Linked DNA regions of Struthio camelus. The protein of the gene in region 1 interacts with the protein of each later gene in a pairwise test. Links are inferred from orthologs where the notes say so. Each region holds a gene or a part of one and is shown on either strand. Other genes may lie near its edges. The genes, in order: KIF5B and PRKAR2B.

What was found.
Region 2: the proteins of KIF5B (region 1) and PRKAR2B interact in binary tests that used the Homo sapiens proteins (3 or more experiments, as listed by UniProt). The two-hybrid records come from large-scale screens. The link is inferred for Struthio camelus from reciprocal best matches to the Homo sapiens genes KIF5B and PRKAR2B.

The regions. Positions count from the first base shown.
Region 1 is NC_090943.1:17,080,074-17,087,872, forward strand, and holds the start of KIF5B (kinesin-1 heavy chain), read left to right. Parts: upstream 1-4,575; 5' UTR 4,576-5,062; coding exon 5,063-5,188; intron 5,189-5,336; exon of another isoform or gene 5,337-5,398; coding exon of another isoform or gene 5,399-5,404; exon of another isoform or gene 5,405-5,899; coding exon of another isoform or gene 5,900-5,911; intron 5,912-7,799. UniProt on the Homo sapiens protein: Microtubule-dependent motor required for normal distribution of mitochondria and lysosomes. Can induce formation of neurite-like membrane protrusions in non-neuronal cells in a ZFYVE27-dependent manner.
Region 2 is NC_090942.1:16,002,971-16,011,091, reverse strand, and holds the start of PRKAR2B (cAMP-dependent protein kinase type II-beta regulatory subunit), read right to left. Parts: upstream 3,089-8,121; 5' UTR 3,020-3,088; coding exon 2,701-3,019; intron 1-2,700. UniProt on the Homo sapiens protein: Regulatory subunit of the cAMP-dependent protein kinases involved in cAMP signaling in cells. Type II regulatory chains mediate membrane association by binding to anchoring proteins, including the MAP2 kinase.

The DNA.
Region 1 (7,799 bases):
AAAGTAGAGCCTTGACATGGATTTCCCTATGAAATTTCAATCCTTAGGTTAACACTGCTATAACTTGTACAATAATTTTCCTTTAGCAACAACAACAAGCAATGTATCTCTAATCTTACTCTCAAAAACCACTACGCTATTTTTGCTGCCACTGTAAAAAAAAAAATTGCTTGAGGCAAGCACACAGCAAGCAAAAATACAAGCCAGTGGTGATTTTAGCAGAGATTACAAGCAATGGAAAAAGAAATTAGAATAGCCCTTCTCCAAATAAGACTCAGAATCAATGCTTTAGAGAGTAAGCTTACAGAATTTTTGCATGCTTTTGCATAAAGTAGCCAAAATAAACATATGTTATTCCTGGAGCTTAATTTTGCTTTTAATTGGTCTAATATTGTTAGAAACAATTAAATATGGTCTTAGTAATTAGGAGTAAATTAGAGGTCAACTTCTGCATTTTATGCCTTTCTAGTAAAAAAAAAAAAATAATTACTCATACTTATGACAAGAAATTTATGTGCATCAGGAGCTGCATCCTCAATGCATGTTTCATCCTGCTAGTTCATACTAAAGCCTAAACTTGACTGGGACAGGAAACACATTCCAACATTGAATCATTTGGTGGAGCAAAAGGAAGCTTTATAATTTTATAACTGAATGAGACCTTTAGATAATCGAGTTTGACTCCAGTAGTATCTTAGGCCACTGAATTTCACCCATTCAACCTTCTGTTAATCTCAGCTTAGTTAGCTACTGAGTTCCCCAAGCTGAATTGACTGAACACGCTCAGTTTGTTTGCTGGTAAAGAGACTTTAAAATGTATTTGAATAAGCTGTCTGAAATAAAATCTTGTTACTTCTAATGAAGGCTTTTCCAGTGTCAAGCAATGACACTAGACTTCACAAATTATCTTAAGAACCTTTATTGACAGAGGGTGTTACACGTAACAAAGAATTTTGTTCCAAGTGCAGCACATCTAGCAAACTAATCACCCATTTGTCCTACAAGTCGATTTACAAATTCAGAATAAACTTGACCTAGAATGCACCTTAGATTCTGAAAAGTAGTGTGCTATATTTTTCCAGCATATTGCAAATCAAAATGAAAAGAGCACTTGTGTTTGCATCAGGAACACTGAATTTCAACAAGTACTGTCAACTGATGAATCTACCATCTCAGAATTTCATTCTTTAAGGGGCAGGAGGAAGCAGCTTTAATTTGCTTCTCTGCAAACACCTGCTTTAAAGATTTATCCAAATATGCAATATTCTTTTAAGATCAAATCAAGATTACTGTCACTCTGCCAAAACAATTTTCATGGTTAATTACATCAATATCCAGATAGAGTTTCACTGTAAGCCCCTTTGCTGAACATGCTGATCTTTTAATGCCAGGAAGATACTAGAGATCTAAAGGAACTGCAAATCATAAAAGAATTTCTAGAGGATTATTGCACAGATCATAGATGAGAAGAAACATAGCGAACTAGTAGATATAAAGTGGTTAGATAAACTACTTTTATTAAAAGACGTTGGTCTTTACTGAGAAACTTTACTATACTTGTTTATTAGATAAATTGTTTCTTTAGAAAATATATTTCACTTATGAGGCTCAAGTATCAGATGGAAAGATTCACTTTTTAATGACAACTAATATGCCATATTTTCTCACTATAACAGACTTTAAACGGTCTTTCACCCTAAATAATTGAAAAAGTATGGTATAAACAGGTAATTACATATTCCAGAAGAAGTAAAATATATTTCCAATTAAAAATGAAAGAGAATTTTTTCATCGTGACAAAATTGGAAACTTGGCAGGACATTTGGTCTCTGCCCTGCTTTTGGGAAAGCGGCACCACATCTTTAAGCACAAGTCATCAAGACTGCTGTTTGATATCCTATTTTAGAGCCAACAGAGATAACACACTGCTCTCTTTGAATATGCTGCAGCATTGTTAGACTGTAAATAGGTCACGTAAAAGAATGGTTGCTGAACATTTTGAAGAGCAGACCACAGAAGACAATCTTCATGACCGAATACCTGGAATGAATACGAGAACACGCATGTTTAGTTCAAGGGAACTCATTTAGTAAGGTTTCCCATAGCCAGTATGGGAGATACCGTCAACCACGGTCTCCCACGAGCTTGCATGGAACCAACAGCCTAGAAGCGGTCAGATCCTTCTACACAGTTCACACATCCCGGTATTTTTTTGTTACAGCATAATTAAAAAGAGCAACTACCTATTCACGAGTCTATACTGTCTCTTTGTAAAGTGTATGCTGTTTGAAACATTGAAAAGATAAGCAGGCCTAAGCATTTATTTTCTCGAGAACCATTTCATTACGAGCTTTTTTCCTTTACCGAGTTGTTCTTACTTTGAGTACTGTGTGTCAGCAAATGTAGCTAATGATATATCCCCTTCGGTTGTGGATAATGATAATGACAAGTTTCCCAAATAGACTAGGGTAAAGGATACATCACCAGCTGAAACATTCTGGGAGTAATAATCATGAAGTTGTTGATTTTGCAGCTAACATTTATTTTTCCTCACTTATTAAAGAAAACGAATTGCAAAAGTAGTAAATAGTTTATGTGCCCTTCATAAAAATAATAACCTCCTGTCACAGGAAATCTGTAAGGATCCAAACCCAGCAGCTGTACAAACATATGCCTACCCATAAGCACGTGGACAGTCCAAGAAATAGTTGAGTTAGACATATTAATATATCTTGCTGACTGGGATTTAAATTCACAAATTCTAAAATAGAATTCAACAAAAATAGGCTTTCTCACATTTTAAGGAGAACCACCATTATATTTTATTGACAATACGTTTCATTGAAACAGTTAAGCAGAACCATCATATGCTAGATGCTGTGGGGCAGCAGTGCACCTTCTGCAGGCGGAGTATACAGCCTGGCCTTATCAAACAGCTAAAGAGCGCTGGTAGGTTGGGTGGTGTAATTGTTGCTGCTCCGATCAAGGCGGCATAGTCCTGCAGCAGTTTTAACTACAGCAGAAAAATAAACTTGTTACAACATGATCTCAATTTAGAAGACTTAGAGCTTACCTCAGAACATCAAACAAGGTGCAAAAAATATTTTTTCTATGACAGTATGAAAAAAAGCTGTAGACGAAATTAGGTTATTAGGTAACTTTCCTGCCATGTGGATTAGCATGGAGAAATTTTGAAGCAACATCCGCCTTCTTTACCTATACTAAGTAAAAACACACCATTCAAAACCCTGCAGTAAGAAGGGCCTTGAAAATGGAGGCTGCTTGATTTCAGATGGTCCCTATTAAAATTCACAAACATGTACCCTTTTCTAATGAAAAAGAGAGTACTTTCAAAGGAATGACATTGCTATTCTGAGTCGTTCTGGCCTACTAAAATTTACTAATTTAAGAGGACTCCCTCATTTTTCATTAATTTCAAGGCCATTTTAAAAGTTTCCAGCACAGATGGCGATTTCTGACAGGAAGTTGACTTACTGAGCTGAGCTGTAAATCTGTACTTTGACCCGGTTTGAAAGTTCATATTATACCTAGATGTAAAGGGGTATGGCAGTAAAATCTTGAAACTCTTCTGAGAGCCTCTGATCTGAATGGCTTACCTAACAACTTTTTAAATCTAGATACCGTCAGTAAATATCCATGGATTAGCATTGCAGTTCTATTTAATCTGTATTGAATAAAACTTGTGATAAAGGAAACTTTAGAAAACTATCGTGCATATTCTTTCTTCATTGGAACGGAAAGGTAGGGAGAGACTTCTTCACGGGAAACGAACTGTAAAGGCTGTGTATCCTTGCAACGCCCTCCTAAGAACGTGACCTGCAGACTCCCTAGCCCCACAAGACCTCCATAGGTTTCCGGAAAAGGAATTAGTTCGGGGGAAATTTTGAAAATACTGACAGTTCCATTGGCAGGCTTTCTGTGCATACTCATGCTTTTTTTTTTTTTTTTTTTAATTCTGCTGAACAAAGGCAAAAAAGAGTCAAGACAGTTCGGAGGTTTCTCTCTCCAGCGCCTTAACTTCACGCCCGCTAAAGCTGGTAGGTCAGTTTTCAGGCTCGCCCTGCCTTGGAGGGCCGGCCCGGCCGCAGGCAGAGGGCTGTGTCGCGCCCCCCCCTCACAGCCACGAAGCGCCCGGCGCCGGCCGTTAGCGCGGGAACGCCGCCGCCTGCCTGAGGCGCGCGCCCCGTCCCCTCAGGGCTAACGGCCCCTGAGGGCCCCGGCCCCTCAGGGAGACGAGGTCTCCCGCCATGCGGTACCGTGGCCAACGTTAGCCCCGGCCGTGCGCCCGCAAAACGGCTCCGCTGCGTGCGTGAGGGGAGCGGGGGCGGGGGGGTGGGGGGACGCTGGCCACGGTCACGGCCACGGTCAGGCTAGGTACAGCGGGCGGGACGAAGCTCTCACACGCGCCCCTATCACACCCTTCTCCCCAGGCTCGGAGGGAGCCACGCCCCCACAAGACCACGCCCCCACAAGACCACGCCCCCCACAAGACCACGCCCCCACAAGACCACGCCCCCACAAGACCACGCCCCCTCGCGCTGGCTGCGCCTGCCCGGTGCGAGCGTTGGCACCCCCGACGCCTATCCTCCCGCCGGGTGGTCTCCCTCCCTCCTCCCCAGCGACGGCTTCGCGCCTGCGCCGTCGAGCTCCCGTCGTGGCCGGGCCCCTCGCCTGTGCCCCGCCGCGCCTGCGCGGCACCTCCGAGCCGAGGGGGCGGGGTTGGGGGGGGGGGGGTTCTGCAGAGGGTGACGTCACCGCCTCTTTGCCCTGCCGTCCGCGCCGCCTCTGCCCGGGAGGGGAGGGTCGGGACTTGCCGGCTGCAGGCGCCGCCATGGCTGCCATATTGGGGAGGAAGTGAGAGCAGGAGGCGGCCGTGGCGGCCAGGAAGGAGCCCTTCCCTTTTCCCTTCTGCTTAGGCGGACGCGGGCCTCCCGGCAGCGGCGGCAACGGCGGCTTGTGAGACCCCCGGAGCGGGCGGCGCAGAGGCAGCAGCGGGTAGCGGCGGAGCTGAGCGCCCCGGAGGCGGCGGCGTTGGCCTAAGATGGCGGACCCGGCGGAGTGTAACATCAAAGTGATGTGTCGCTTCAGGCCCCTCAACGAGTCCGAAGTGGCCCGTGGCGACAAGTACGTCGCCAAGTTTCAAGGCGAAGACACCGTCGTCATCGCGGTGAGGGGCCGCCCCGGATGGGAAAGGCGGGGGGTGGGGAGGAAGGCGCCGGGGGGAGGGGGTGTGCGGGCGGTGGGGTCACATACCGCGGGGATGGGCGCGGTGTGAGGCGAGAGGCTGGGCCGCGGCGGAGAGGGGTGGCTGTTTTGGGGTGGGGGGGAGTGGGAAGGGGAGGAGGGCAGGGCAGAGCGGTAAAGAGAACCGGCTAGGATGGAGGTGGGCATGGCGGGGCAGAGAGGAGAGCTCGGGGAGCGGTTGGAGGGGGTGCATCCCCTGGCCGTGCATGTGTGGTTGCAGGACGTTCCCGTGGTAGCAGGTCAGGAAACATGGACAAAGGCTCTAGCAAAAGGCTTGCAACTTGGGGCGTAACTGGAGTTGTCGTTGCTGAGCCCGAGCCACAGGGCAGGCTTCACTGTGGCCACGGAAGACGTGCGAGTTAGGAGCTGGAGCAACAGACGAGTCCTGCAGAGTGTCCCCTGGCTAGGCTGCGCCTGGTTTTGGCCACCGTGAAGAGTTTGGCCGCTGAATAAATAGTCGTTCAAAAAGTGTGCATTGGAACTAGCAGCGACGTAATTATCAACAGAAAGATTTTAGAAAGAAAACGCGCAGCAACGTGAGCTCTGCTTGACTGATCTGTAAATCAGTCATGGGCTGATAACTTCTTTTAAAGAAGAATGAACTGAGACTTTTTGACTTATTACATGTTTATGAATGCGTTTTAACGTAAGTCATCTAATAAGGTATGAGAGCTTTTACATAGCAATCTGAAAGTTTCAGGGGAGAAGATAGTCCTAGCCTTGCTGTTCATTGTGTCACATTTAGCTACAAAGTGGAGCTGGAACATAAAGCACAGTAGCTTATTGCCTGGTTTAGTTGGTATTCTGCAAATACGCGCTTTATTCCCAATGCTTGTGTTCTATCTCTGCTAACTTTTAATCATTCTCTAGAGACGATCCTGGTTCTGCATTGCTAAACGCAGAACTTAGAAATGTCAGTTGATTATTTTTCTTTAAATTTTGTTTTTGTTACTCTCTTTGTTAAGGTTACCAGTACTACCTCTTTCTCACAGTATCTGAACTTTGAAGAAGACATTAATAGCATCAGTTTTTTTTAAATATGTCATATTAAATACTAGTGCTTTATTCTGTTTGAATTCAACTGATTTTGCAAATACAATATGGAATTCCATCAGTTCTCAGCTGCAAGAAAACTAGAGTGCTTGTGAAATGAGGTAAATTTGGGCCTCTTTCAGCTGACAAGTTGTTAACTTGGAGTAGACCTCTTCTGACTGAGGTGGTACAGGTAAACTCCTCAGAGTAAGGAACTAAGCCTAGAAATGGAAATTAGAAATGGAAAACTAGAACAAATGATCTCACTCCATCAATGAGTATCCATTCATTGTGACACTGTATGATCTCTTTAAAATCCAGGATTAATTTCACAATTTTTTTTTTTCTGACTTTTTCATAGATGATGCATTTTCCACATCTTTTTTTTTCTTTCAGTAATTCTTGGGCTAAATTACAGCCGTTTCTAATGAAGTACACATCAAATAAGAAAAAGGAGGTGATCTGGAATGGACTTTAAAATGTTATTTCCACCCATGCGTTGCAGGTTGAATAGAATCTTCTGCATTCTCATCTGCAATAGTCTGCTTCTCACAATTAGACAGTTTAATTAGACAATTTAAAATTTTTTTAAGGCATTTACTACCAAACATTAAAACTAGAATTTCTCGTTGTTTGTGAATTGAGGAGAAAACTTTTATAGTGTTTAGATAGTCTTTAAATACTCTTTAAAATGTCTAAAATGTAAATTGGGCTGAGGTGGCACTAAATCTGTGTGGATCAATGTGATGTCATGGTCCTGAAGGAAAATGCAGGGCTCTTGCTGGGATTTGGTAGGGAGCTGGTATTTTTTATAACTTTGTCTAGTTTTAGTGTTTTCTGCATGAGGAAAAAACAAAAAATCCTTCAGTGATCTCAGGTCCAAGACTTGCTGTGTCTGACCTTGGAGAAAATACTGAAAAAAACCCATTAGATTATGGGAGCAGTGATGGTACTCGAGTCTTATTTTAATAGAGGATTGATGTTCTGGGATTCTGCTGTGTGTTTTTTTTTCGTTTTGTTTGTTTTGTTTTTAGTTGACTGAAGTTTTAAAAAGTTACCTTCCAACCTGAGGATATAGCTATCCAAACACATCTTGCCTGTGTTTTGTGGAATTGCTAAAGGGAGGACAGTAAAAGAAGCAGCTCTTCTCATGAAATGGTTTCTAAAAACATTTCTCCATAAGCTGTATGTTTGGTTGCTTTCAACTGTTTATTAGAATTTCTGTGTTTACAGCTACATGTGATATTGTCTGCCATTTGAACAGTGAGTTGAGCCTCTTTTTATTTATTATGTATATTTGCTTCCCTTGTCTGCTATTGCCCTCGAGCAGCCTGATGGAGGCTTCTGTTATGGCTTCTGTGTGTGCCAGGGTCTATGCTGAAACATTGAACGCCTCTTTTAAATAATGCTTAGATGTTGCTTGAAGTGATAGGTGGGAGACGAAAACTAGGACACAGTGGGAACAGGGCATATAGCAGGCTCTATTGCAGATTTGACTCCTC
Region 2 (8,121 bases), on another chromosome or scaffold:
TCCTAAAAACCTCTCTACTAAATCATATTAAGGCTAGATGAAATATGAATTTTAGCTACAAGCAAATATTTTAAAACAACTGATACAAATTATGTGGGTCTTTATCCATCAAAATAAGGTACACCTTAAATTCTAAATGCTAATGTAAGGAGAAAAGTATAGGCATTTGAAAGCAGACAAATAACTTAGTGAGCATCTTCAAGTTTTGCACAGATACAGCATAATACGTTGTTATACACATTTCAAACTTTCAAAAAATTAGAGGAATTTTCTAAAAATGGGCTCAATTTTATGTACGCTACTGTAACTAAGTCCTATCCAATTTAAGTAATTCCTACTAGTATTAACAGGAGTTATTCCTGCAGATTGACTAAAACTCATACACCTGTGTAGGACAACTTAATATTAAAGAAACTAGAAGATCTCAAAATCATTTCCAAATTAAGCAGTGTGTTCAGAAGGTGATACTCTAAATGTTCTGAACTTGAACAATGTTGCTTCAGAGGTCACATTAACTACAGGTGCTAATTCAGAATTACGACAGCAATACTGCAAAGAACTGCAAGCCACACAAGGTAACGGTCTTAATTGTGGCTTGATTTCTGCAACTGATGTAATGGACACAGACTAGGACCCGAACACAGTTTAATTCTTGGCTCGCATACAACTCTTAATCCTGAGTACGGTAAATTTCTTAACATAGCTTATACCTCAACTCATCATTTCTAAAATGGAATAATGCTTATGTATCTTACAAAATATATTTCAAGGACAAAACTAATGCGGACAAAGTGTTCAGCTGCAGTGTTTGCAGGAATTCAGAAACATGTACTGGAAAAAAAAGGAGTTGGAGACAATAGCAATTACAACAAGCCCCTAACAACAAGGACCTGTTTGAATAAGCAAATTAGGAAATATTGTCAAGTTGATTTAACAAGAATTCTGCTTCAACAAAAAAGGTACTGCAGACAGGTCTAAGCTCCTTGCCGGAATTTTTTTTTTTCATTTACTTTTGCTTATAAACTCTCGCAATTTGTTTTCCTCTCTTGTATGACAACAGTACACCAGTAGGACAGACTGATTATATTGAAGCAGTCTGATTACTCACAAAGACAAAAGCAAAAAAAAAAAAGAAAAAAAAACAGATTTTTTCCTCCAGCTTGCATTCAAGAATTGCTACTTACAAAAACAGAAAGTAAAAGCAGAAAAGAAATACACTTTTAAATAGATATTTAAACCCATTAAACAATGATTTAAAGACCAGGCTTTATGCCTCCACTTATTAACAAAAGGCTGAGCGGATGCATTGCTGTGCTACTTCTGAAGAACAGATATTCAAGGTAGATGTAAAACTTGCACTTAACATACACTCTCCCGTGCAATGTGTGTGTGCACAGGCACACACTTATTAATAATTTACTATAATGTACTCATTAATACACCTTCCATGTGGTTTCAAAAATATTTCCATTTTCATACTTTCAGTTATTAATTATTCCAACCGGCACAAATTACGAGTCACAATATAATTAAACTTTCAGAATATATTAGGCTTTTTTATTATAATTTCCCAATTTTTGCCGGTGTTATAGACAACATAGCGTCAGAGTTCAAAATCACCACGTACATCTGCAGAACCTGATGGACGGATTCAAATTCTCATTAATTATACACCCCCAGCTACAGCTGCAAAGAAGAGACGAAAGGAATGCCGACTATATTACAGCGTAACACAAAGCATCCCGAAAACTTTCCCAGTTCTTAAACATCCAGGGTTTTTTTCCTGATAAAATGCACGTAAGACATTATTTTAAAAACGACACTGATACTCATCTAGCAAACAGCTGGCTTCTGTGCTCTGCTGAGCAAAGCCACCTTCAGCATGACCGAGGAGGACCAGTCCTTCGATGACCTGATGAGGTATACTTCAATTTCAAGCTGCTCAAGCTAACGATAAAGATGCTTTGACGCCGTCTTGCTCTTCTCCGGCGCACCTTACACCGACGGACCTCTCCGCGAGCCTGCTGGCGGCACAAGGACCGGGTGCCACGCACCCGTGCGGGACAGCTCCCGCTGGTCCCATAAATCGGGTTGGTCCGGTAGATGGACACGGTGCTGCTCGCTCACCCGGGCAGGCACACCAAGGCCGCACCAAGGCCGCCGGCTGCCGGCAGACAGGTGTTGCCCTCGGCTGGGAGCGGAGGCGGCGTGCGCGCGCCGGGCTGCCCTCGCCGCGACGCCCGCGCCGTAGGCCCTTCTCCATCCCGCACAGTTTCCACCTGACTTTTTCTTTCTTTCTTTTTGTTCCTCCCTAAGAGATTTCGCTTCCTGCGATTCCGCTGTGCTGATTTATACGAACCACACGTTGCGGCCACGGAAAATGTTTGACCGGGCTGCGTGGACGCAGCGACGCGCCCAAGAGAAAGGTGTTTCGTGAGGTGGGAACGGCAGCGCGGCGCTCGGCTAATGAACAACCACCACCACCACCACAAAAAAAGCAACCCCCACACCCTTGGCGCCCCGGTGGCCTCCTGGCAGCGGCGGACGAGCGGAGCGCCCCCGGGGCGACACCCCCGCCGGCCCCGGCGCCGCCTTGCGCGGGGCGCGGAGCTGCCAGCGTCGGCGGCCGGACAGACCCCGCCGCCCGGCCCGGCCCGGCCCGGCCCGGCCGCCGCCCGCGCCCCGGCCCCGGCCCCTCACCCGGGAACGCCTCCTCCTGCTCCTCGCCGCTCTCCGAGTCGCTCTGCATGGGCTCCTCGGCGAAGTTGACGCCGCGGGCGTCGGCGGGGGCCCGGCGCGGCGGCAGGCTGCCCCGGGCGCGGTCATGGCCCGGCGCGGGCGAGTCCCCTTTGCGGCCGCTCGCCTCCTTCTCCTTCTCCTTCTCGGCCGCCGCCTCCTCCTTGAGGCGCCCGAAGTACTGGAGGGCGAAGTCCAGCAGGTCCGCGGGCTGCCTGCGCAGCACCTCCACCGTGAAGCCCTGCAGCAGCTCCGTCAGCCCCGCCGGGATGGAGATGCTCATGCCGGGGCCGGCCGGGGGCCGCAGCCCGGGCAGGGACGGCGGGCGGCAGGCGGAGGGAGCGCGGAAGGGCGGGCAGAGGCCGCCGAGCCGCAGCCAGCCGGGCAGCACCGGCAGCCCGAGGCCGAGGCGGAGGCGCGCCCGGCCGGCCGGCCGCCCGGGGCAGCGGCGGAGGGCAGGGCGCAGCTGGCAGCCGCGGGCGGGCGGCTCGGCGGCGGCGGCGGCCGCAGCGTCTCGCTCCGCTTCGCCCCGCACTCGGCGCGGCGGCAGCAGGCGGCGGCGGCCCCGTCCGTGACTGAAACCTCCCCGCCCCCGTCCCCGCCGCCGCCGCCGCCGCCGCCTCCCCCCTCCCCTCTCCCCGCGCCGAGGGAACCTCGCGCGCATGTGACCCGCGAAACCATGACAACCTCCCGCCGGGAACGGCGGCCCGCAGCGCCCCCGCCCCCGCCCGCGCCCGCGCCCCCGCCGGCAGGCAGCGAGGGCGGGCGGCCCCGGCCCCGGCCCGGCCCGGCCCGAGCCCTCGGCGCCCCCCGAGGCGGGAGGCGCCCGCAGGGGGCCAGGGCCGCCCCGGCCTCGCCGCCCGGGCCCAGCGGCGGCGGCGCCGCCTCGGCAAGGCCGGAGGGCCCTTGGCGCCCCTGCTGCGCCCCCCTCCGTGAAACACCCCCCGGCCCGGCCCGGCCCGGCCCGGCCCCGCGCTGGGCTCGCTTTTAATTGCTATTGTGCTTTTCTCAGGGAGGCGTAGCGCGTCCCGTTCTGCCCTCCTAAAGATGTTCCCCACACCATTCATATACCTATACATACATATATATACATGTATATGCATCTATTTATGTTCATATATAGAACTTAGGATTGGAGGGGTTAGGAAATGCATCCTGTTGGTCAGCTGCTTGTCTAAACGCATAAATAATGCAGCTGGAAAAAAGAAAACAGTTGTAATAAAGACCGTGCACGTAAAGAGCGCCGTACGGCTGTGCTCGGCGTAAACCCTTTCGACTCGGGCCGCGGAGCGCCTAGGACCCTTGTGGTAGGTGCTGCTTGTCGTTTCTGGTGAGCTTCGTTTTTTTAAAGCGAGTAGCAGTTGCGGGTGCTGTGCTTTTCCATCAGGCTTTGCTAAACGCTTCCTGAAGGCGAGGTCCTTGAAATGCATGAAAAGTGCATCGCTCCGTAATTGCTGATCACAAAATCTGGCCAACCTTTTGAGGGTTCAGAAATTTCTGTTAGAGTCTTATTTTCATGCACTAAGAGAATTGACTGCTAAAACGTCTAAGGTTGAAAGTGCTTTGTGATAATTGATTTCACGAAGCATTCTGGATTACTCAAATTGCCTTGAAATGTATTCCATCGGGGCTTAGGGTGAGGTAAGCAGTCAAAATTTGTGTCCGTAATAGCAAGGAGATACTGAAAGACCTAGCTTGAAGAAAGCCACATGGCAACAAAATATAGCAATCTTTTCATGCAAATGAGGATCTCAAAGCCATTTTTAATTGAAGTAGTGTCCAGATGGAATGCACTGCTCCCCGTGGAAGCAATTTCAAATTGGAGTTTGTTTTGTAAGCTGGATCTTCAAACTGTTCTAGACCTGCCAAATGAATGGGGAGAGTGATCCATTCACGCATGGCGATATTGCTGCTCTGTACTGAGCGATGGAGTTGTGGAATACCTTTGAGCAACATCCTGCCACTACTGGCTGCCAATGCCGCCCGCCCCGTCTGCCTTTACAAATCAGCGCAGGGGTACCATGCAGCCACGTGTGCTACTGGGGACAAGAATCAAGGGCCACAGGAGAGCTGGCACCTGTATGTTACGGACAGTTGCACACCTTGGTCATTCTAGAGGGTGTTTAGCTATAGCTAGAGATGCCAAATTGGCTCACTTGTAAGTTTAAGGGGTGCATAGCTTAAAAGCCCTCTCACACCACTAAGAGCGTTGACCTGATCGTGATCAGGTTGAGAGATACCCAACTTGGAGGAAACCTCCAGAAGGGGAAGTATCTGACACTAGGTCCAGCTAACCACTTGGCACCTTGCCGTTGCAAGGCGTTCTTTCAGCCTGTGATACTCCATCTACTGGAGTCTTCAGGGGCTAAACGCATAGTTATCCCTGAGGTTTTCCGTTAGCCAGACAGAGCTCTCTATTACTAGGAATTTATCAGCAGCACAGAGTCCTTCACCCTCTGATCAAGGATTTTGCTGGCTTGCTAGGGCCTCCCATCCTCCTAGGCATGGTGGAAGTGAAAGGAGATTGCTTCTCTGAGGACATCCTGAAGAGCCAGGCTTTGCTCTCTACTTTTTACTCTTCAGGGACGCAGCCACAGTCTGTCTAAGGAGCAGGAGCTAAACTCCAGTGAATCTCTTAATAAGACTGGGGACTTGATGATACAGCTATCAGGATCTGGAAAGTACAGCTCTGATACACTCATTAGCCAAGAGGAGACAGGGGTAGGGAATGATCTACAGTGATGTCTTTCTGTGATCAGGAGCTTGGCTCCAAATTTTGAGTTATCACTTGTCCTTCTTCACGTGTTCTTAGCTTTATTTTAGCAACCTGTGAAAATCCAGAGGAACCTGTGACCTCGATCAAAAATGTCATTTCCTCTATCTAGCAGTAACAGACTTAGCTTTTGTAGGAAAGCCCAGTGATGATTTTATTTGGACACTGGGCTACCCTTGCTGCAGGGAGGCCTTCTCCTCCCCACACTATTTGTTCTTGTCCCGCACAAACTCCAAGCACTTTGTCTGAAAGTCAGCAAACATAATGCCAGTGGTAAATCTTACTTGTTCTTGTGGCAATGCAAAAATCATAGAGTAGTTCCCACCTTCATCAGCCAGTGTATTGGGCTTATCAGGAATGAATATATTTCAGCTGGGTGCCCCGATTCTTTTCTTGCCTTCCTTTCCAACCTGCATCAGTACTAGTCAGCAGAGGAGTCAGATGCCAGGCAACGTAGGCATGCAATATGGACATAAAAAGGGCTATTCCAGGAGTCTGCAATGTTGTTGCACGTGGGCCCATCCTGTGTCAGCATCCTGGACGCAGCTCTCGGAAGAGCCTAGGAATAGTCTATCATGTCTATCTAGGGAGTTGATGCAGAACAGATACTACTAGCATTCCCTGGAAACAAGCAATTTTCTTTAGATACATCTACTGGAACAAAGCATTTCTTTCTCATTGTTAGTTTAAGCCTTGTTCTTGAAAGATTTCTAAAACTTCTGCTGTGCACGTTACTTGGGCAGAAGGTTGCAGCCAGCCTTCTTCAAAACCTTTGCTCCGGAATAGATTTTTTTCTTGAAAAAGAAGTATTTCAAAGTGCTCTGAGATCTGTAAGCATGCTCAGATTGTTTTGAAACGATTTTTTATTCTTTGGGGGAAAGGTAAACATTTGAGGTCTTTTGGCCAACAGGATTAGACCATTGATGGAGCACCTGGTTTTAATAGGCAAACTGTTGTCCTGTTGGTGGTCTTGGTGTTAGTATGCAAAACTGGGAAAATTAGAATAAGAGATTCCAGATAGGTGGTGCTCTAAAGAACGATTTTTTTTTTTTAAATTTTCAAAACAGCCTAAAATGCATGTATCTAGTGAGACTTATCTTGAGTTTTGGAATATCTCAAAGAATGGCAGTGAACTTTGTGGTTCACATTGCTGTCATTTGGTTACCTTAGAAACTTTCCGTTCCAAGGAGCTTGTCCTGACATGTAAATTGCTTTTAAATCCTCATAGGGAGGGCAGTTCCCCAAAATGTATTATACTGTAGCAGAACAATCAGTTAGGTAATGAGAGGATCGGTTCACACCTCTCTGACCACCTTTGTTAGTTTGCACTAATTTCTGTGTGTCATTCTAGTTCAAATGAAAATGTCATCTTGAAGTGAAAGAGCATATAAAAACTTCAAAAATCCTTCTGTACAGCAAAGGGCTTGGGCCCAACATTACTCTCACAATAACCAAGAAAGTGAAGTAAAGACTCTTGTGGTCTCCTTTCCTGCTACCCATCAATGCATTCCCCATTACACGCAGGTTACCAGCCTTTGTCTCAGTCTGTCCCTTCAAGTGATTTGAGGTATGGAAGAACTAAGAGAATACAACTCGTAATGAAAAATAGGAAGCCCGATGCCTCCTACACGACAATTTCAGACAGCGTGCTTTGGACAGCGGTTGGGACCGCTTCTCTCAGAGGTCAGAGAACAAGATCTTTTCTGAGCATGTAGAGGACAATGAATAGAGTGCAGAAGGAAGAGAGGACAGACTTTAAAGCCTTGTCTTTGTCAGAATAGATTTAAATTTAGTAAATTTAGTACATTTGAGCAAACTGAGTCCACCTAACAGCCGACAAGGCTTCCTCTTGCCAAGTTCCAGCTGATCTGAATAGCTTTCTCCCAACCTTCCAAAGACGTTTTCTCCAAGACCCATCTTCTGATTAACCCTGACTAAGCTCTGGCGTGCAATTCATGCAATACATAGTGGGCAGAAATGTGTACTTGACACCGTGAGTGTAAAACTGTATAAAGCCTTTTCTCTAGAGTGGAAAGTAACTTTTACAAGCATACTAGTGGAGTACAGGCTTTTAAAGAAACTCTCTATTACCTTCTTGGAGGTGAGAAGAACTATTATTATCTGCTTGGATCAACTGCACAGCTAGCCCAGAAATAAGGGACCTGAATCTCTTCAGCTGTAGTAGCCTCTCTCCTAAGTTGGCAGCCTAGCAATTCCCAAAAGTTGCCCTTGATGAGAATGAAAGTACATACTGTACTGGAGAAAACACAAGACAAAAATTGGCCCTATACCTATTGCAGTGTACTGGGAAAGGACTGAAGTTTGGGTGTGGGAGATGTTACTCTCTGTATTTCCTGTTTTTTTAAAGATGTATGGTTTGGTCTTATCTTAAATCTTTGTCCTGACTTTTGCAAGCTTAAATGTAGACGGACTTTGCATTCTGCATGGTTAAAAGTTGCTGACAGGCAACATGAAAATCCCTTCATGTTTTATATTTACATTAAAATCTCTGTAGTTGTGTACCAGTGTTTTCCTCTGTGGGCTCTTGATAATGCAATGGCTAGTGTACAAGTTTGAAACAACCACTGTTAGTAAGAATAATCACATACCTA